2 linked regions of the Elephas maximus indicus genome follow. The protein of the gene in region 1 purifies or fractionates together with the protein of each later gene. This does not show direct contact. Links are inferred from orthologs where the notes say so. Each region holds a gene or a part of one and is shown on either strand. Other genes may lie near its edges. The genes, in order: SERBP1 and TSR1.

What was found.
Region 2: the proteins of SERBP1 (region 1) and TSR1 purify together in Homo sapiens (affinity purification with mass spectrometry; 3 studies listed by BioGRID and IntAct, with this or other methods). This does not show direct contact. The link is inferred for Elephas maximus indicus from reciprocal best matches to the Homo sapiens genes SERBP1 and TSR1.

Annotation. Positions count from the first base shown.
Region 1 is NC_064821.1:113,362,488-113,370,452, forward strand, and holds the start of SERBP1 (plasminogen activator inhibitor 1 RNA-binding protein), read right to left. Parts: upstream 3,103-7,965; 5' UTR 2,984-3,102; coding exon 2,671-2,983; intron 1-2,670. UniProt on the Homo sapiens protein: Ribosome-binding protein that promotes ribosome hibernation, a process during which ribosomes are stabilized in an inactive state and preserved from proteasomal degradation.
Region 2 is NC_064837.1:19,436,499-19,445,151, reverse strand, and holds the start of TSR1 (pre-rRNA-processing protein TSR1 homolog), read right to left. Parts: upstream 3,559-8,653; 5' UTR 3,404-3,558; coding exon 3,307-3,403; intron 3,136-3,306; coding exon 3,032-3,135; intron 2,734-3,031; coding exon 2,514-2,733; intron 2,407-2,513; coding exon 2,272-2,406; intron 1,889-2,271; coding exon 1,464-1,888; intron 717-1,463; coding exon 557-716; intron 122-556; coding exon 1-121. Other genes in the region: SGSM2 (small G protein signaling modulator 2), read left to right, coding at 4,782-4,838, 8,351-8,426. UniProt on the Homo sapiens protein: Required during maturation of the 40S ribosomal subunit in the nucleolus.

The sequences.
Region 1 (7,965 bases):
CACCATCAGGACACACCCAGTTCTTCAATTCATTTTAACCAAAGTCAGAGCAGTAAATATCAAGCTCTTTAATAAAAATTTAAAGTTCATTCCATGTAAACTCTCAGAACAGGGCACAAGTGTTAGACCTTACACCAAGGCATTTAAGTAAGTTTCTTCAGAGGTATAATGTAGTGGGGCGGGGCTATGGAACCAGTCCTTATAATGACATCCAAACTAAACACACCCAAATGAACAATAGCTTGCTTCCCCACCCAATATTCAATATTAGGCTTAATTACAGAAACTAAAAAACTTAATAAATTCACCCAATGAAAAATAATTGACATAAAATCACAGGTTTGTCTTGCTGTACTTCTAGGCCGATTTTCACCAGATTCCAGGCTTTTATTATTCCCATAAAACCTTGACTGGTCTACATCCTCAGTAACATTCTGTTGTGTCAATTCTGAAGTTCTTCAAATGGACAAATGACAAGCTACAAAATTAATTCATATAATACAAACACTAAATACTTATCAGAGTTATGTCTACCACTGTACCTGGACCTATTATTCATCCCACTACAAGAGGGTAGGGACTTTGTTTACAGGTTTATCCCCAATGCTCAGAACATTGCCGAACAAGTGCTAGAATCTCAAAACAAATTTTGGTTTTCATTCAAGTTTTTTTTTTTATTATCTATAAACTTACGTTTTATGCAACTCAAGTTCAAGGGTGCTCTACAATGTTGATCTAAGGAAAATGTTGAGTTAATATGGAATAATTTTCCCATGGAAAAAATGACTCCAGAATGGCGAACTTTGTCCCAGTTATAAATTTATGAAAATATTCTCTTTATAACGTAAAACACTAGTTTGTCAGTAAGAGCTTATTTTATTTCAAAGATGGGCTTTTATGATCAAAACAACTGAGGCATTAAACCACACTTCGTATGCTTTCAAAATTCAAAACGTGTGAACACACCTACCTGGTAACATCTTAGATGTTTCATACTCAGTTCTTTCACGTGCTTTCTTTGGATGAGTGTAATCAAGGAAACAAATCTGGGCAGTTCTAATATTTACTCAAATGTGTGTTCCCTGAGACAGGAATTAAATGTTTTATTCAATTGTGCTACAGGTGGCCATAAGGCTTAATTGATCTAAGTGATATACACATGTTTTCTAAGATTACAAATTGTGCTTTCCCCCAACCTATAGTTCTAATACAACTCTTTCACTCACCACCTAGGTTTTTCCACATTTTGCTGTGTGCTGTCGAGTCAATTCTGACTCATAGCGACCCTAAAGGACAGAGAACTGCCACATAGGGCTTCCAAGGAGTGGCTGGTGGATTCGAACTGCTGACCTTTTGGTTAGCAGACTAAGCTCTTAACCACATTGGCACCAGGGCTCCTTTTCCACATAGGCTCAAAAATATTTAGCATAAAAATGAAAATTTCTTAAACCGAATTCCAATACTCTCAACACAAGTGAAATTTTGGTTTGCTTTTTTCCATTAACTGAATACTACAGAATTCAATCAAGGCTAACGAGAAACAACTCCTTCCAAGAGCACGTGGCAGTAAAAGGTAATCTCAACTTTCAACATATAAAAGCAACTCAGGTCCTATACCGTTTTTCTTTTACCCCCAATTATTTTGCTCTTTTCCATTCACCAAAACAGATAAACCAGTAATGAGAACGCAAAAATCAAACTCAAGACAATTCTACGAAATTGACAGTGCCCTGAAAGCAACTATCACCGGCCAGTAAAATCCTGACCATGCTTCCACAGGTGGAGAAAAGGCTGCAGACTCAAAAGAGCTCCAGCAGCGGCTAATGTTGTGACAGCCTCTGCACTCACTTCACACCACGAGGCCCAGACAACGCCACACCACATGGAACATTACGTGCGGGGAGTTGGAAGAGCAGAAGAGCGATTCTCAAGACTTTCTGCAACAAACATAGTTTTCAGAATTCCCGCTTCTGCTTAAAAGAGTGTAGCCAAATCCCTCTCCTAACAGCTTAACTAACTCCAAGTTATAAAATACTTGCCGGGGGGGGGGGGATGAAGCACGTGTGGCACACCAAACAGCAGCCTACTCCACAGTATCTGATCATCTCAAATACAGAAGCAACTGAGGTCTAAACTCCGACTCCCAGCTTTTCACCGGAGTACTCCACGCCATCGTGGGACAAGATGGCAGGACAGAAGACTAAAACAGACACCACCTCAAAAAAACACGCTGAAAAAGAACTGCGCAGGAAGAAGCTGTGGACCCCAAGCTCCTCCTCAACTACTAAAGCTGCAGTAAGTGGCTTGCTTCCCCGCACCTCTGTCCACGCGCTCGCCCGCCAAGGAATCCGGCGGGAAGGCAACAGCCTCCCAGGACGCCGAGCACGATCAAGAGCAGCTTATCTCCGGACCACGCTCCTCTGCTCCGCTCAGAACCCGAGGCGGGAAGGGGGTGGCTCCGGGGATCCTTGCAGACAGTGGCTTGAACTTGGGACTACCACGCTCCCTGCACTTTACAGGACCTGGCTTTTGTCGCGTGGGAGAATCATGAAGAAACAGGCGGCAAAATCTGTCGCGGCTCCTCGGAACTCCAGAAGCAAGTGGCAGCCGCAACTCCCCTCGCTCCTGCCCTCCGTCCCCGGTCTTCCCCACCTTCTACCCAAGCTTTACCTTCTTTCTTAAGCGCCACGGGTGGCTGCGTCTCCTCTTTCTTGTCAACCACGCCAGCACTGGGAGGCAGTGGGTTCTTCCGGTCTTTCTGGGACTCTTTACGCAGCTGTTTCCCTGCCGCGTTGGAGTTGGTCTGGGCTGCGGCCTGAGCTGCGCTCTTGGCCCCAGGGCCCCCAACACCGCCCCCGCCGGCTTCTTTTTTCTTGTTCTCTGCCGCCTTCAACACCTCGAAGGGATCCGATTCGTCGTCAAATAACTGATCGAATCGGTTGGTGACCACGCAGCCGAAGCCCTCCTGTAAGTGCCCAGGCATGATGGTGGCTGGGCGGCGCGTTCCTCCACGGATTGCAGCGGGCCGCGCCGAGCCAAGAGTGCCTGCTTCAGCTCTTCCCACAAGATGGCCGGGCCGAGAGAGGGGGGCCTTCTTCTCTTCCGGCGCCAGGCACATATCCGGGAGCGGCCACCGCCGCACGGCACCATGGGCTATGTAGGCCAGAGTCGTTTCTCCAGAGGAGTCACCCGGCACTGCGACTACAATTCCCAGAATGCATCACGGAACAACTCTTCGCGCGCGCCTGAGAGGCAGGACCTCGTGAAGGGAATGAAGCGTGCGAGCTGAGGGAGGAGAAGTGCGGTGGTGGGCGGAGTCCTGCCACCTGCTCTTGCCACCCTTAAACTCTCCAGATATCTAGCTACCCTGAAAACAGGAAAACGTGACGGCGTATTTTACTTGCGAAAGTGCTGTTTTTGGTTTTACTCTCCTCGCCGCAGGCTCAAGGCTAACTTTCTCCATCTCTTCGGGAGGGTCAAGGTGACTCCTAGATCTTTCAACTGGAGACTCACAAACTTCCGGGGGAGGGGGAGTACGGAGGTGCTGGCTGGCCTCCGGTAAGCAGGACCCTGTATGTTCTAGTCCCTAGCCGCTCAGTGGCTGGAGTTGCCCTCCTTCATCCCCCTAGTAATGAATTGAGGCTCTTAATGTTTAATGTGAGGCGGAGTACGCTTCCTCTCGCGGAGACTTGAACTCCGGTAGCAAAATTAATCGAAAAGACAAATTGAACTATCACATGGGACGGTTACGCGCCTTTCCCACGCAAGAAATGCCCCGTTGCAAAGGGTGCTTTAGAGCTGTTAAGTCCCTACAGTGCAGCACTAGACACTGGGCAAGTCTCGAAAAGGCACCGTTTGTAACAACACTTTATAGAGCTAATCTAATTGTCTATTTTTTTTTTTTTTTTACTATTATTGTTTGGGAGGCAGGGGTAGGTGGCTGTGGTGTTAAGTAAAATGTGCTCAGTAAATATTAGATTTAGAGTATTTTAGTTTGTTTGGAGGTGCAGTGAGGGGAGGGAAACATGGCAGCAAATTGACATTACTAAAAGCGTTGCTATTACTTGAAAATATTAAAGTCTATAAAGGAGCCCTGGTGGGTCAGTGGTTAAAGCTCTCCGCTAATAAACGAAAGGTCGAAGGTTGGAATCCACCAGGCGCTTTATGGAGAAAGATGTGACCTTCTGCTTCGGTAAGGATATACGGCCTTGCAAACACTACAGGGCAGTTCTACTCTGCTCTTACAGGGTCACTATGAGTCGGAATTGAGTTGAAGGCAGTAGGTTTGTTATGGTTTTTTAAGGTAATTCAGTGTGAGTGCATATTCAAACACATTTGTTAACACTGTAAATGTTTAAATACAGCGTGTAATTTTTAAATCTTACGCCATTACCACACAATATAAAAGATGAATCTCTTATGTGCCAGGTGCCATGAGTAACTTTAATCTCAACAACTTGTAACGTTTCCCCTTTGCACAGATGATGAAGCCATTTCAGAGAGGTGGAATGATTTACCAAGTTCACACTTCTAGTAAATGCCAATGCCAAGAGTTAACCCGGTCTTTAAATTCCACTGTGAGAATGTTGATATCAACTTTTTTTTTTTTTTAAAGATTGGGCTTTAGGTGAGAGTTTATACAACAGATTTGTTTCCCATTCAACAATTCGTATACCAATTGTTCCCTGACACTGGTTGCTATTTCCCCTTCTCCACCAGCAATGGGTCAGCGCTTCCCCCATTTCCACCCTACCTTCTCCATTTCCATCCTTCCAGTTTCCCTTCCCCTCTTTGCCTTCTCATCTTTGCTTTGGGGCAAATGTTGCCCATTTGGTCTCATTTAGTTAATTGTTCTAAGGGGCACGTTCCTCAGGGGGTGTTACAGTTCATTTTTATATGCCAGTCTGTTATTTGGGTGAAGGGTGACCTCTGGAAGTGGCATCAGTCCAGGTTGGAAAGATATCTTAGGGCGATAGTTTGGGGGCTTTTGCAGTCTCTATCATTCCAGTAGGTGTGTCTTTTTTTATGAATTTGAGTTTCGTTCTACATTTTTCTCCCATTCTACCCAAGAACTTCTCTGTGTTCCTGGTCAGAGCAGTTGATATTGGTAGCTGGGCACCATCTAGTTCATCTGGTCTCAGGCTGCAGGAGGCTGTGGTTCCCATAGGCCATTAGTCTTTTGGACTAATTTCTTCCTTGAGTCTTTAATTTCCTTCACTCTCCTTTGCTCCAGACAAGAAGAGGCCAGTAGTTGTATCTTAGAACATAGCTTGCAAGCCTTTAGGACCCCAGGTGCTACTCACCAAACGGATGTAGAACCTTGTGTTTATGAATTATGCTGTGCCAGTTGAGCTAGATGTCCCCTGAGACTTATGTTCCTTATCCTTCAAGCTCAGTGACTCAGTCCCATGAGGTGTTTGCATATGTCTAAGAGGTTTCCATTACTGTGCTCCCATATGCTCTTTTATATATATGAATATATATGCAGTTTATTTAAGTTTGTATATACAATTACAACTATATCCATACAGGCATGTGCGTACACTCCTATACGCCCTCCCACCTCTATATAGCATATGTATCTACCCACGTAACCACTCACAGATTTTTGGGTCGTTCTTACTGTTGTTGCTCAACTGTATATGGTATGGTCATTACTGTAGTCATCCTTTATTCTTGTGTACCTCTCAGTGTCTTCATTTCCCTTGGTCACATTGTGCTAACTTCCCCGTATTATTTGCTGTCTTTTCCTTCACCAGAATTAACATGTGTCTGCTGTCTATTAAGTGGTTCTTCCTCCCTTCCCTTCCCATACCTGGTAACCATTAAAGAATGTTGCTTTCTGTGAGTAAACCTTTCCGTAACTTATCATAAAAGTGGTATCATATGGTATTTGACTTTTGTGATTGACTTATTTCATTCAGCATTATGTCCTCCAGATTCATCTATGTTGTAAGATGTTTTGTGGACTCATCATTAGTCTTTATTGTTGAGTAGGATTCCATTGTGTGTACGTACCGCATTTTGTTTATCCATTCATCCATTGATGGACGCTTAGGTTGTTGCCATCCTTTTGCTATTGTGAATATTGCTGCAGTGAACGTGGATGTGCATGTGTCTATTTGTGTCACTGCTCTTATTTCTCTAGGATAAATGCCTAATAATGGGATTGCTGGATCATATGGTATTTCTATTTCTAGCTTTTTGAGGAAACACCATATCGTTTTCCATAATGGTTGTACCGTTTTACATTCCTATCAGGGGTGCATAAGAGTTCCAGTCAACCCACAGCCTCACCAACATTTGTTGTTTTTTGTTTCTTTGATCAGTGTCATTTTTGTTGGCGTGAAATGGTATCTCATTGTGGTTTTGATTTGCATCTCCCTAACGGCTAATGATCATGAGCATCTCTTCACAAGTATCTTATTTGGTGAAGTGTCTGTTCATGTTCTTTACCTATTTTTTGATTGGACCATTTGTCTTTTTGTTGTTGAGGTAGGTGTTTAAGTTTTCTATGTATTTTAGAGATTAGACCCTTTTCAGATATGTTGTTGCCAAAAATTTTTTCTCGGTCTGTAGGTTCTCCTTTTACCTCTTTGCTGAAGTCTTTTGATGAGCACAAGTATTTAATTTTTAGGAGGTCCCAGCTTCTAGTTTCTCTTTTGTTGTTTGTGCGTTTTTAGTTATGTTTGACAGTTGATATATGCCACAAATTAGGACCCCTAGCTTTGTCCCTGTGTTATCTTCCAGGATCTTTATAGTTTTAGGTTTGACATTTAGGTCTGGTCCATTTTGAATTAATTTTTATGTAAGGTGTGAGGTATGGATCCGTTTAATTTTTCTGCAAATCAATATCCAGTTTTGCCAGCACCATTTTTTTTAATTCATTTTTATTGTGCCTTAAGTGAAAGTTTGCAAATCAAGTCAGTCTCTCATATAAAAACTTAAATACACCCTGCTTTACACTCCTAATTGCTCTCCCCGCAGTGAGACAGCACGCTCCCTTCCTCCACTCTCTCCTCATGTCCATTCAGTCAGCTTCTGGCCCCCTCCGCCCTCATCTCCCCTCCAGACAGGAGATGCCAACATAGTCTCATGTGTCTACTTGACCCAAGAAGCTCGTTCTTCACCAGTATCATTTTCCATCCCATAGTCCAGTCCAATCCTTGTCTGAAAGAGTTGGCTTTGGGAATGGTTCCTGTCTTGGGCTAACAGAAGGTCTGGGGACAGGATCATGACCTCTGGGGTCCTTCTAGTCTCAGTCTGACCATTAAGTCTGATCTTTTTACAAGAAGTAGGGGGTCTGCATCCCACTGCTCTCCTGCTCCCTCAGGGGTTCTCTCTTGTGTTTCCTCTCAGGGCAGTCATAGGTTGTGGCCGAGCACTGTCTAGTTCTTCTGGTCTCAGGCTGATGTAGTCTCTGGTAATGTGGCCCTTTCTGTCTCTTGGGCTCATGATTACTTTGTGTCTTTGGTATTTTTCATTTTTCCTTGCCCCAGGTGGGTTGAGACCAATTGATGCATCTTAGGTGGCTGCTCGCTAGGGTTTAAGACCCCAGATGCCACTCTCCAAAGTGGGATGCAGAATGTTTTCTTAATAGATTTTATTATGCCAGTTGACTTAGATGTCCCCTGAAACCATTGTCCCCAAACCCCTACCCCTGCTACGCTGACCTTCGAAGCATTCGGTGTAGTCAGGAAACTTCTTTGCTTTTGGTTTAGTCCAGTCGTGTTGACCTCTTCTGTATTGTGTGTTGTCTTTCCCGTCACCTAAAATAAAACTTACCTTCTACCTGATTAGTGAAAACCCCTCTCCCTCACTCCTTCCCTCCCCCGTCTCATAACCATCAAAGAATATTTTCTTCTCTCTTTAAACTGTTTCTCCAGTTCTTATAATAGTGGTCTTATACAATATTTGTTCTTTTGCAGCTGACTAAGTTCACTCAGCATAATGCCTTCCAGGTTC
Region 2 (8,653 bases), on another chromosome or scaffold:
TCATCGTACTCGTCTCCTTCCCCACCACTTTCACCTTCCTCATTCAAAATCCATTCAGCCTGGTAACTGGATGTTCCTTTGGGGACCTTCTTCACCATCTTACAATTTTGTTTCAATAAGTCTATAACAAAGTCCAAACCAGTTAAATAAATTACATACCTCCTTACTCCGATCACTCAGGGTATTCTCACCTAGGCAAGAAGCTAGATATTGCTGCCAACACCAGAAACTCTAACACGCTATGAGTAGAACAGACTACTTCCAAATTTAATTCAGCCACCTCAAAACTAGCAATACTTATACAAATAAATAAACCTTGGAATGACTCCAAAAGTGTTTATCTGTTCATTCTAAAACAAGAACAGAAACAATTTTGAGAAATGGGGCAAAACTGTGTTCAATACTTAATGTAAATATACAGCATTTAGGGGAGAGGGAAGGAGACAGACCTCCAAGTACATCCTCGCCCCACTCTAATATATAGGTTCCTCATTGTGAGCAGCTATGATTCTGATTGTAAACCAGATAAATTACAAACAAGTCTGCCAACACCAACCATTTGCCTCACTCAGCTCCTCCTCAGTGGGCCAGGTCTGCTCCCCCTCCATTGGATCTGGGATAACCTCTGATTGCAAAGACTGCTGTCTACCAGGGTCTGCTTTCATTAGGACCTTAAGATCTTCCTCCATATCAACTACAGCATCAGTAGCACAAATCTGAAAATCAAAGCAGCTGACGGTCAGCCAAATATTAACCAAAAAGCTAGCAAATTTAACACCATAACCAAAAACCTCTAGACTAAATGAAATGTTCAAGTAGAAAATAAAATACTCAAAGAGAAAATAAAACAATGACACAGAAAGCCAAAACTTGTCAAAATGTTTCAAATGGCTCCTACTGTTTTAAATCTATACTTAAAAGCTTGGCTTTTGAAATCTTTCATAAGCTGGCCTTACTCCCAACCAACCAAGTTGCTCCCATCAAGCTGTTTTCGTCAGAGTTCAAAGAAACTCTCTGACCCATAATTGTGCCAAGGTTCATGTTATCCCCAACTCTTTCTAGAATATTCTTTCATCTCTCTTCAACTCATAACTCCAACCTATTCAACATCTGGCTCAAATCTGATCTCTGTGATGTTTGCTAGTCTACTTTCTCAACTTCCATAGCAGGTCTGTACCTTAGCCATGTACTATTTTTGTTTCACAGGTGTGCCACTTTACGGGGAAGTGACAATGCATATATCTCCTATAAACTCAGAGCCAACTGAAGTGCAAGGCACCTAGAAAGTGCTGGATAAACAGTTGATTTATCAACATATTTGTAGTTAACTACTGCCTTACTTCCAACTGGCAATAGCCTCACTGGCCTAAGTGTCCAGCCTACCTTCTCTGAACTTGGTTCTAATTCTGGACCAGCTCATGTATCAATCTACAATAAATGGCTTTTAAGAACATCAATCTTACCTCCATTGCCATGCCCTGGTCCTTTTGAAATTTAATCACTCCAGAATTTAAAGGGAAAGGGTCCATGGGGGCATCTATCTGTTTCATCTGGAAATCACCATGTCCAATGATATGCAGCAAGCTATTTACATTGAGAGTTTGTCCACGAACATAACCTGAGACTTTCAAAGTGCCAACCAAGTTACTTTCCTCACTAGGCACAAAGTCAGCAGTATGGGCAAGCAGGTAGGCCCGCCGATCTCGAAAGGCAAGATGCCGTTGCTTTTGATTAGCCAACTGCCTGAGCAGCATCCCTGCCTCCTGTTGAGTGTCTAACAGGAGGAGTTTGTCATCAGGAAAGCGCTTCTCCACTGCTTTACTTAGCTTCTTTCTGGCATCTATTTGTTTCCTTGGTGGAAGGCCAGAAACTCCCTGGACAGCTAGTGCTGTGAGCAAAAGAAAAAGAGCTTGGTGATGATCTATTGCTTCACTATGCGAAAATCCCCGTGCAATTCACAAATTAACAGTTCAGATGTGAGCCCAGAGATCACTGGGAAACCCAGAAATCAGCTACCCTAAAGACATTTCACAGTGAAACCAAACTTCATAGTCTTCTTCTTTCTCTGGGCAAAGGACAGACTAAAAATAAAAAGGAATGTTGGCGAATAATTTGTTAATAATGGACCAAGCTTGTGCCATATACGTACAGCCTGCCATCAGCTCTACAAGGTTTTCCTGTATCAAATGCCAGGCAGCGTCCTGGCAGATTATAGGTGGTCAATTAATGCTAATTCACATCCTTCCATGGCCTCCAGTACTCCTCACTTACTATAGGTGGGAAGGCCCTGAGCAAAGAGGCAGGAAAGGCAGTAATCCCCAGTGCTGTCCCAGCCTTCTAGTGAATCGAGGAGGAACAGGATGGTATCAGCCACTTTAGCCATATCCAACACAGTGTGCAGATCCCCTGGAGATACAAGAAAAAGTCAGTAAGAAGTGGTTGGCACCACCAGATTATATTAAAAAAATATATAGATTACCCCTACTCAAACATAATGATAGTAATATCCTAACCTGGCTTTGCAGATGTAAAAAACCACCGATGTTTCAACCGGGGGCATAGCAGCATGAAACTACCGGTGCCTCCCCATTCACGGAGGTGTACTGTTCCAGTGTCACTATCCTGCAGCAGGCGAAAGGCCTCTGGCAGGGAAATCCTGCTGTGCAGGGGCACCACGAGTACATGATGGGGAGGGCCATCCTTGCTGCCCAGCTGTCTCTTCTCTGCCAGAGCCTGGTGATCGAAAGGATCAGAGAGCATCTCAGTGTCTCTCAGCATTTCGTTCTGGTACTGCATTTCCAATACTCAGATGTTCCCCCTAACCAGCAAAACTCTTGTAAGAGGTGGTATGCCAGGAGGGTGGCAGGAAATCGGATCAAAGCAAGGAATGCCCTAGCGCGGGTCTACATCTTCATGCCCGACATGTGCTCTGTCGCCGGCCCCTTCCCAAGGTCACGGTTTCTAATTCGAGGCTTTACCCGCCTAGAGCGGTTGTGAAGCCACACAATTCCCCGACTCCCGCTCCTCTCACCGCCTCTTTCTTCTGCTTCCGGAGCTGGCTGGCACGATGCCTCTGGTCTACGCGGCTAAGCTCTTTTCTCACCTTCTTGCTTAGAGTTTTCACTGCTAGGCGGCCTGGAGGGCGGATCAGAAAGGGCTCTAGTGCATCAGACGATCAAGAAAGAGGACCCGTCTCCGCCCACCCTGGAAAGGAACTTCAACGCGGGGCCCAGGTCCGAGGAAGGTCAGTTTGGGCATGCGGAAAGCAGTTAAACAGACATTCCTCCTCCTGCCCTAGCTCCTCACCCTTGCCGTCTCGTTGCGCGGATCCCCGACCCCGATGCCGCCCGCCTTTATGAGCTTTATTCTGCTGCTTGAGAGGGCCGGAGCGATGGGCCGCCATGCCGCCGCTCACATGCAGGCAGTCAGCACTCCTTCCGGGCCGGGCTGAGCATTTCCGGTCCCGAGCGGGGCGGGCAGGGGCGGGCCCTCTCCGCCGAGGGGCAGGGTTCCCCGCGGCCTTTCGCCGGGGTCTTTCCCCGCAGCCCCGGGGGGCGGAGTGCCCGCGTCTCGGCCGAGCCGTGGTGTTAAGTTTTCCCACGCGGCAGTCTGTGATTGGAGGCTTTATAAAAACGCCGTATTTTGACTTTTGTGGTTCGGGCTCTCGGTCCAGGAGAGGTGTTTTGCTCTCCTGTGTTTTCTTTTTTTTGCGTTATAAAGTTGCATCACGGCCGAAGAGGTTGCACGGGAGTCCCTCCCTTCGTGCCGCGGAGGCTTCGGGCCTCCTCGAACTTAGATTTGTGCACGCGGTCTTTAAGTTTGCAGCAGCAGGTGTTCTTTGTCACTTTGAACAACCTTCTCTCCCTCAATTCCCTCGCAAGGTTGTTGAAGTTTCCAAGCCGAGTGGCGTGGACGGCGCATCTCACCTTCACCTGCTCCGTACAAGCTCCCGCTAGTCCCTGTTGCTCCACCCCGCGCCCCTACATCCCATACCCTCAGGAAGGGCCAGACCGGACGTGGCGACCCCGAGGGAGATGGAGAGGGCTGGCTGTGACCCGCGTCCCCTCAGGGCCGGCCGAGCCTCTTCTGGCTCGAGGCGGCTGCATGCCCATAACCCTTCCCACAAGCCTTGCAACTGAGGGCGATCGACCTGGCAGGGGGACTCGGGGACACACGGAGTTCTGGCTTTTCCGTGGTCAGACCTCTCCCGCGGAGGCCCAATGCCCGGGCCCTCGCAGCGCAGCCGCTCTTTTCCTTCCCGTCGGGAGAATCAGCGGGTAGACGTCTGGAGGCCTCTAGCTAGGTGGAATCCAGCCCCCCGCGCGGGCGACTTTCTCCGCAGCCGAGAGCCGACGGGGTCCAGGACCCGCCCCGAAGCCCCACCCCGCTTTCTGCCTGGCTAGCTGCGGGCGCTCATAATGCGGGTTCGCGCCCTCGGGGCGGGAGCGGGCGCGTTGCCATGACAGCGGCCCGCGTGGCGCGCTCCCGGGCCCGCCACCCGAGGCACGCGCCGCCCCGCTGCGTCCGGATCCCTGCCGTCGCTGAGCGCCCTCCCCGGGCTGTGGGAAGGGGCCGGGCCAGCCGCCTGACGTCTGTGCGGGGCTCGGAAGATGGCTGCGGAGCCGAGCGCCGGGCAGTGGCGGCGGCGGCGGGCAGGGAGCGCGGCGGACGGGGACTCCGCCTTGCGCGTGGGGCGCTGAGCCGAGAAGCGCGGAGGCGGCGAGGGCGCGCGGAGGACTCGGAGGGTCGCTCGGCGCTGCCTCCCCGCCACCCTTCGCACCATGGGCAGCGAGGAGGACACAGTCAAAGAGAAACTGCTGTGGAACGTGAAAAAGGAGGTAAAGTCGGGGCAAGGACCCCGGGGGTCTCGCGCCCCTGCCCGCGGGGCCCAGGGGGCGAGAAGGTCCGTACCCACCCCGAACGCCGGCTCTCACAGGCCCTGCCCTGGGCCTTGCGGGGGTAGGTCCTGGACCGGCTGCGGCTCCCGCCCCCCTCCCAAATTGGGGGGCAAGGCCCCTCGGCCCCAGGAGCCAGGCCGGAGCTCCGGGGTTTGTTTGCTCCGTGATCCCGCAGCTCCCCGCCCTGTGACGGCAGCAGCGCCGGGAGGCCGAGGTCGGGGGAGGGGTGGCGGTGATTTCTGGAGAACCGGAGCTGGCCATTCATTACCCGCGCCGCCAGGGGAAGGGGCAGGGTCCCGCGGGGGCCTCCCGCCGTGATAAGCGAGTGTTTTCGGGGTTAGTGCCCCTTTTCCCTATTCCCCCCGCCAGTATCCCTCTGGGAACTGAGTCGTGGCTGCCGGAGGGCTCGCTGCACACCTCACTGCTTCTCACTCCACGCCCACCTCCTTACCCAGGGACCAGTTGTTTTGTTTTTAAGAATGGTTTTCAGGACTCGATTTTTTTTTTCCCCTGTGGAAGGAGGCCCCCACATCGGAAAGAGTCCTTCCTTCTACTAACCCCCTTTACCTTGACCCAGCTCAAAAGCTCATTTCAGGAGAGGGGAGGTTGCCCATAGGAATGACTCACCCCCATCTGAGGGCTGGAGAGCTCAAACCTGCAGAGTTGGTTAGAGTGGATTAGGCCTCTGAAGCCCTGAGCTCCTTCCACCACTTGCCTCTTTGGCTATAGTCTGCCAGATGTGTGAACTGTATGTTTTGTCCACTAAGCATCCAGCACTTGGTGCACAGTAGGCACTCAGTGACTTTATGGCAAATAAATTTGCTGATCTTGGAGACTGGAAAACATGGTGAGAAAGCACAATTTTTGGAATAGGCTGGACCTAGCACTGTGTGACCTTGAGTAAGTTACTTAACCTCTCTGAACTTCAATTTCTTCATCTCTAAAATAGGAAAATATTATCTACCTCATCTATAAAAGTTCATTTACCATGTTGGTTCTTTCAATCCTTCCTAGAGTTTCAGTGTTGGGGAAGACTCTGGGTTCCAATAAAATCCTGTAAAGCTTCAGACGGTTATCCTGCTTCAGCCACGGCCTGCCTACTCTCCCCTAGCATTTGTTTCCTTCCCTCCCCCGGCAAAGAAGTGTTTGAAACCCTCACCTCTCCAGCTGTGTGTGAGAAGCTCCATTGTGTCTTTGCTGTGGAGTGGCCAAGTAAGGGTTTCTTAGGCCAGGGGTATAAGCCCCAACTTTTAAGCCTCAACTTTGCCCTCCCCGAGGGAAAGAGAAATCTTGGTGCTTGTCCTCAGGAAGCAAGCAGCCTAGTGTCGGAGACTTATACAAACAAGAAAAAAAAGCAGCTGTTGCTGCACCTAAGCTGTTGCCAAATGTGCTAGAATCGTTGGTGTGACCCAAATTGTCTATACTGCTTCAAGAATGGTTCCTAAACAAATGGCCAGAGTATCCCGCAGCTCTGTATCTTACCCGGGAGCCCTGATAGCACAGTGGTTAAGAGCTTGGCTACTAACCGAAAGGTTGGCAGTTTGAACCCACCAGGGGCATGTGGAAGAAACGTGTGGCAATCTGCTTCTGTAAAGATTTACAGCCTTGAAAATCCTGTGGGGCAGTTCTACTCTGTCCTACAAGTGGAACATGGCTGACCTTTCACAGAGGTGCTCTGTGTAATTCTAGGGACCTACTTCTGTAGGTGCTCCTCACCTCAAAATTTACCCACCAGACTGCTTCAGATGGCTGCTGGCCATTGAGTTGAAATGCTGTGCTCTCTGTTCAATGCAGGCACTCCTTGAAGTAATCTAGGAAGCTGTTAACAGTTTAGAGTGCATGAATCAATTTGATCCCTTTACCTAACTGCTAGCCATGAGCAGTTTTCAACAGGGGGGAGGCTCCAACTTCTTCCTCTCTTCTCCCCAAGCCTTAGGAGCTCCTCCACCCTCCAAACTGTAGGGTCCTGGGCGAGGGCCTTGGGAGCTGTGGCAGCATCAAGACACTGAATGTCTTGTCAGAAGAACGGCAAAGACTAGTTTACTTTATCTGTAAGATTTATGCTGGGATAAAGAAAATCCATCCCTGTAATCTCTAGTATTAGTATCTGTCTCCTGGCATTTCTGCCCCAGGTTCCCCCAGGACATAAGAAGTGCTTGGCTGAAGTGTTGGGAGTGACTCATACACTGCTGGTGGGAGTGTAAATTGGTACAACCACTTTGGGGGGCAATTGGACAATATCTAGTAAAGCTGAATACATGCATGCTCCATGACCCAGAAACTCCCTGCCTGCAAGTATAAATCAAAAGAATTTCATATGTATGTTCACCAAAAGGCATGCCCAGAATGTTCATTAAAAAAACCCATCATAGCCACCAGTATTCATGACAGCTCCAAACTGGGAACTACTCAAGGGCCCATCAGTTGTGGTGTATTCATAGAGTAGAACACAGCAGTGGGAACCAACAAGCTACAGTTACGTGCAAGAGCATGGACAGATCTCACAGTCACATAGGTAATCAACAGAAACCAGTCACAAACCCTACACATGGTGTGATTCCATTGAAAACACAAAAACCAGTGAGGCTAATCTATGGTGTTAGCAGTCAGGATAGTGGGTACGCTGGAGCAGAGGACGTGACAGTGCGGTGGGAGGGAAGCTTTGGGGTGCAGGTCACGTGCTGCCGTTTTGTTTGCTGGTTTCCCAGGTGTGTTCAGTTTGTGAAAACTCATCAAGCTGTGTAATTATGATCTGTGTCCTTTCGGGGCAGTTCTCAGTCCTATAGGGTTGCTATGAGTTGGAATCGACTCGATGGCAGCAGGTTTTTTTGATGCATTTTCTAGGTGTTTACTCTGCATCAATAAATTGTTGTTGTTTTTTTTTTTAATGCTTAAAGGAAGAAAGGTGACAGCCCACTCACAAGGTATTTGGAAGCTTTTACGTGCAGATAGGAACCTGAAACAGTGTTTTAGAACCTTGATAAAAAGAAGTCAAGGCTTGTGAGCATGTGGAGAGTGTCCCTGAGGTCTAGACAGATCTAGCCCCTAACCTCAGAGAAGGGGGAGAACAGGCAGGGCAGGTTGTTTATCTACAGCCCGTACTGAGACAGTTTGTCTCTAAAGAACAGTGTGTTTCCCCAGAAGCCCTTCTCCAGATGAGCAAACAGCATCCCACCCCTGTTCTCCACGGTGTGGCACTTCCCCCTGAGCTGGAACAGTCGTACTGATTGTTTGCTGGGGTTATGCCATTTCTTTTCCTGGTTGCCTCCCCAAAAGGCTAAAAGCAGCCTGTGCTGAAGAAACTTTGCTTTCCCACTTCCCATCCCTGTCATTTACTCTGTGCTGTCTGAACCCAGACCAGGGGGACAGAACCCAAGTGATTTCCTTACACAGAGGCCTTTGACCAGGAAAAAAATTTGTGTATAATAAGGATGCTGCTTATTTGTCCACAGGTGAAGCAAATCATGGAGGAGGCTGTCACCAGGAAGTTTGTGCATGAAGATAGCAGCCATATCATTGCTCTGTGTGGTGAGTGAATGGCTGGGGGACTTGAGAGAGTGGAAGGTGAGACAGCATTAGAACTGAGGACATGGCCCTGGAGCCAGGTTTAGTAGGTCTCAAACCTGGCTGCAAGTCAGAATCAACTCGGGAGCTTTTGGAATCTCCTTGAGGCCCCCTCCCAGATTTACTGAATTGGGATCTCCAGGCCCAAGAAAACATGTATATATGCATATATTTTTAAATTGTTGTAAAAA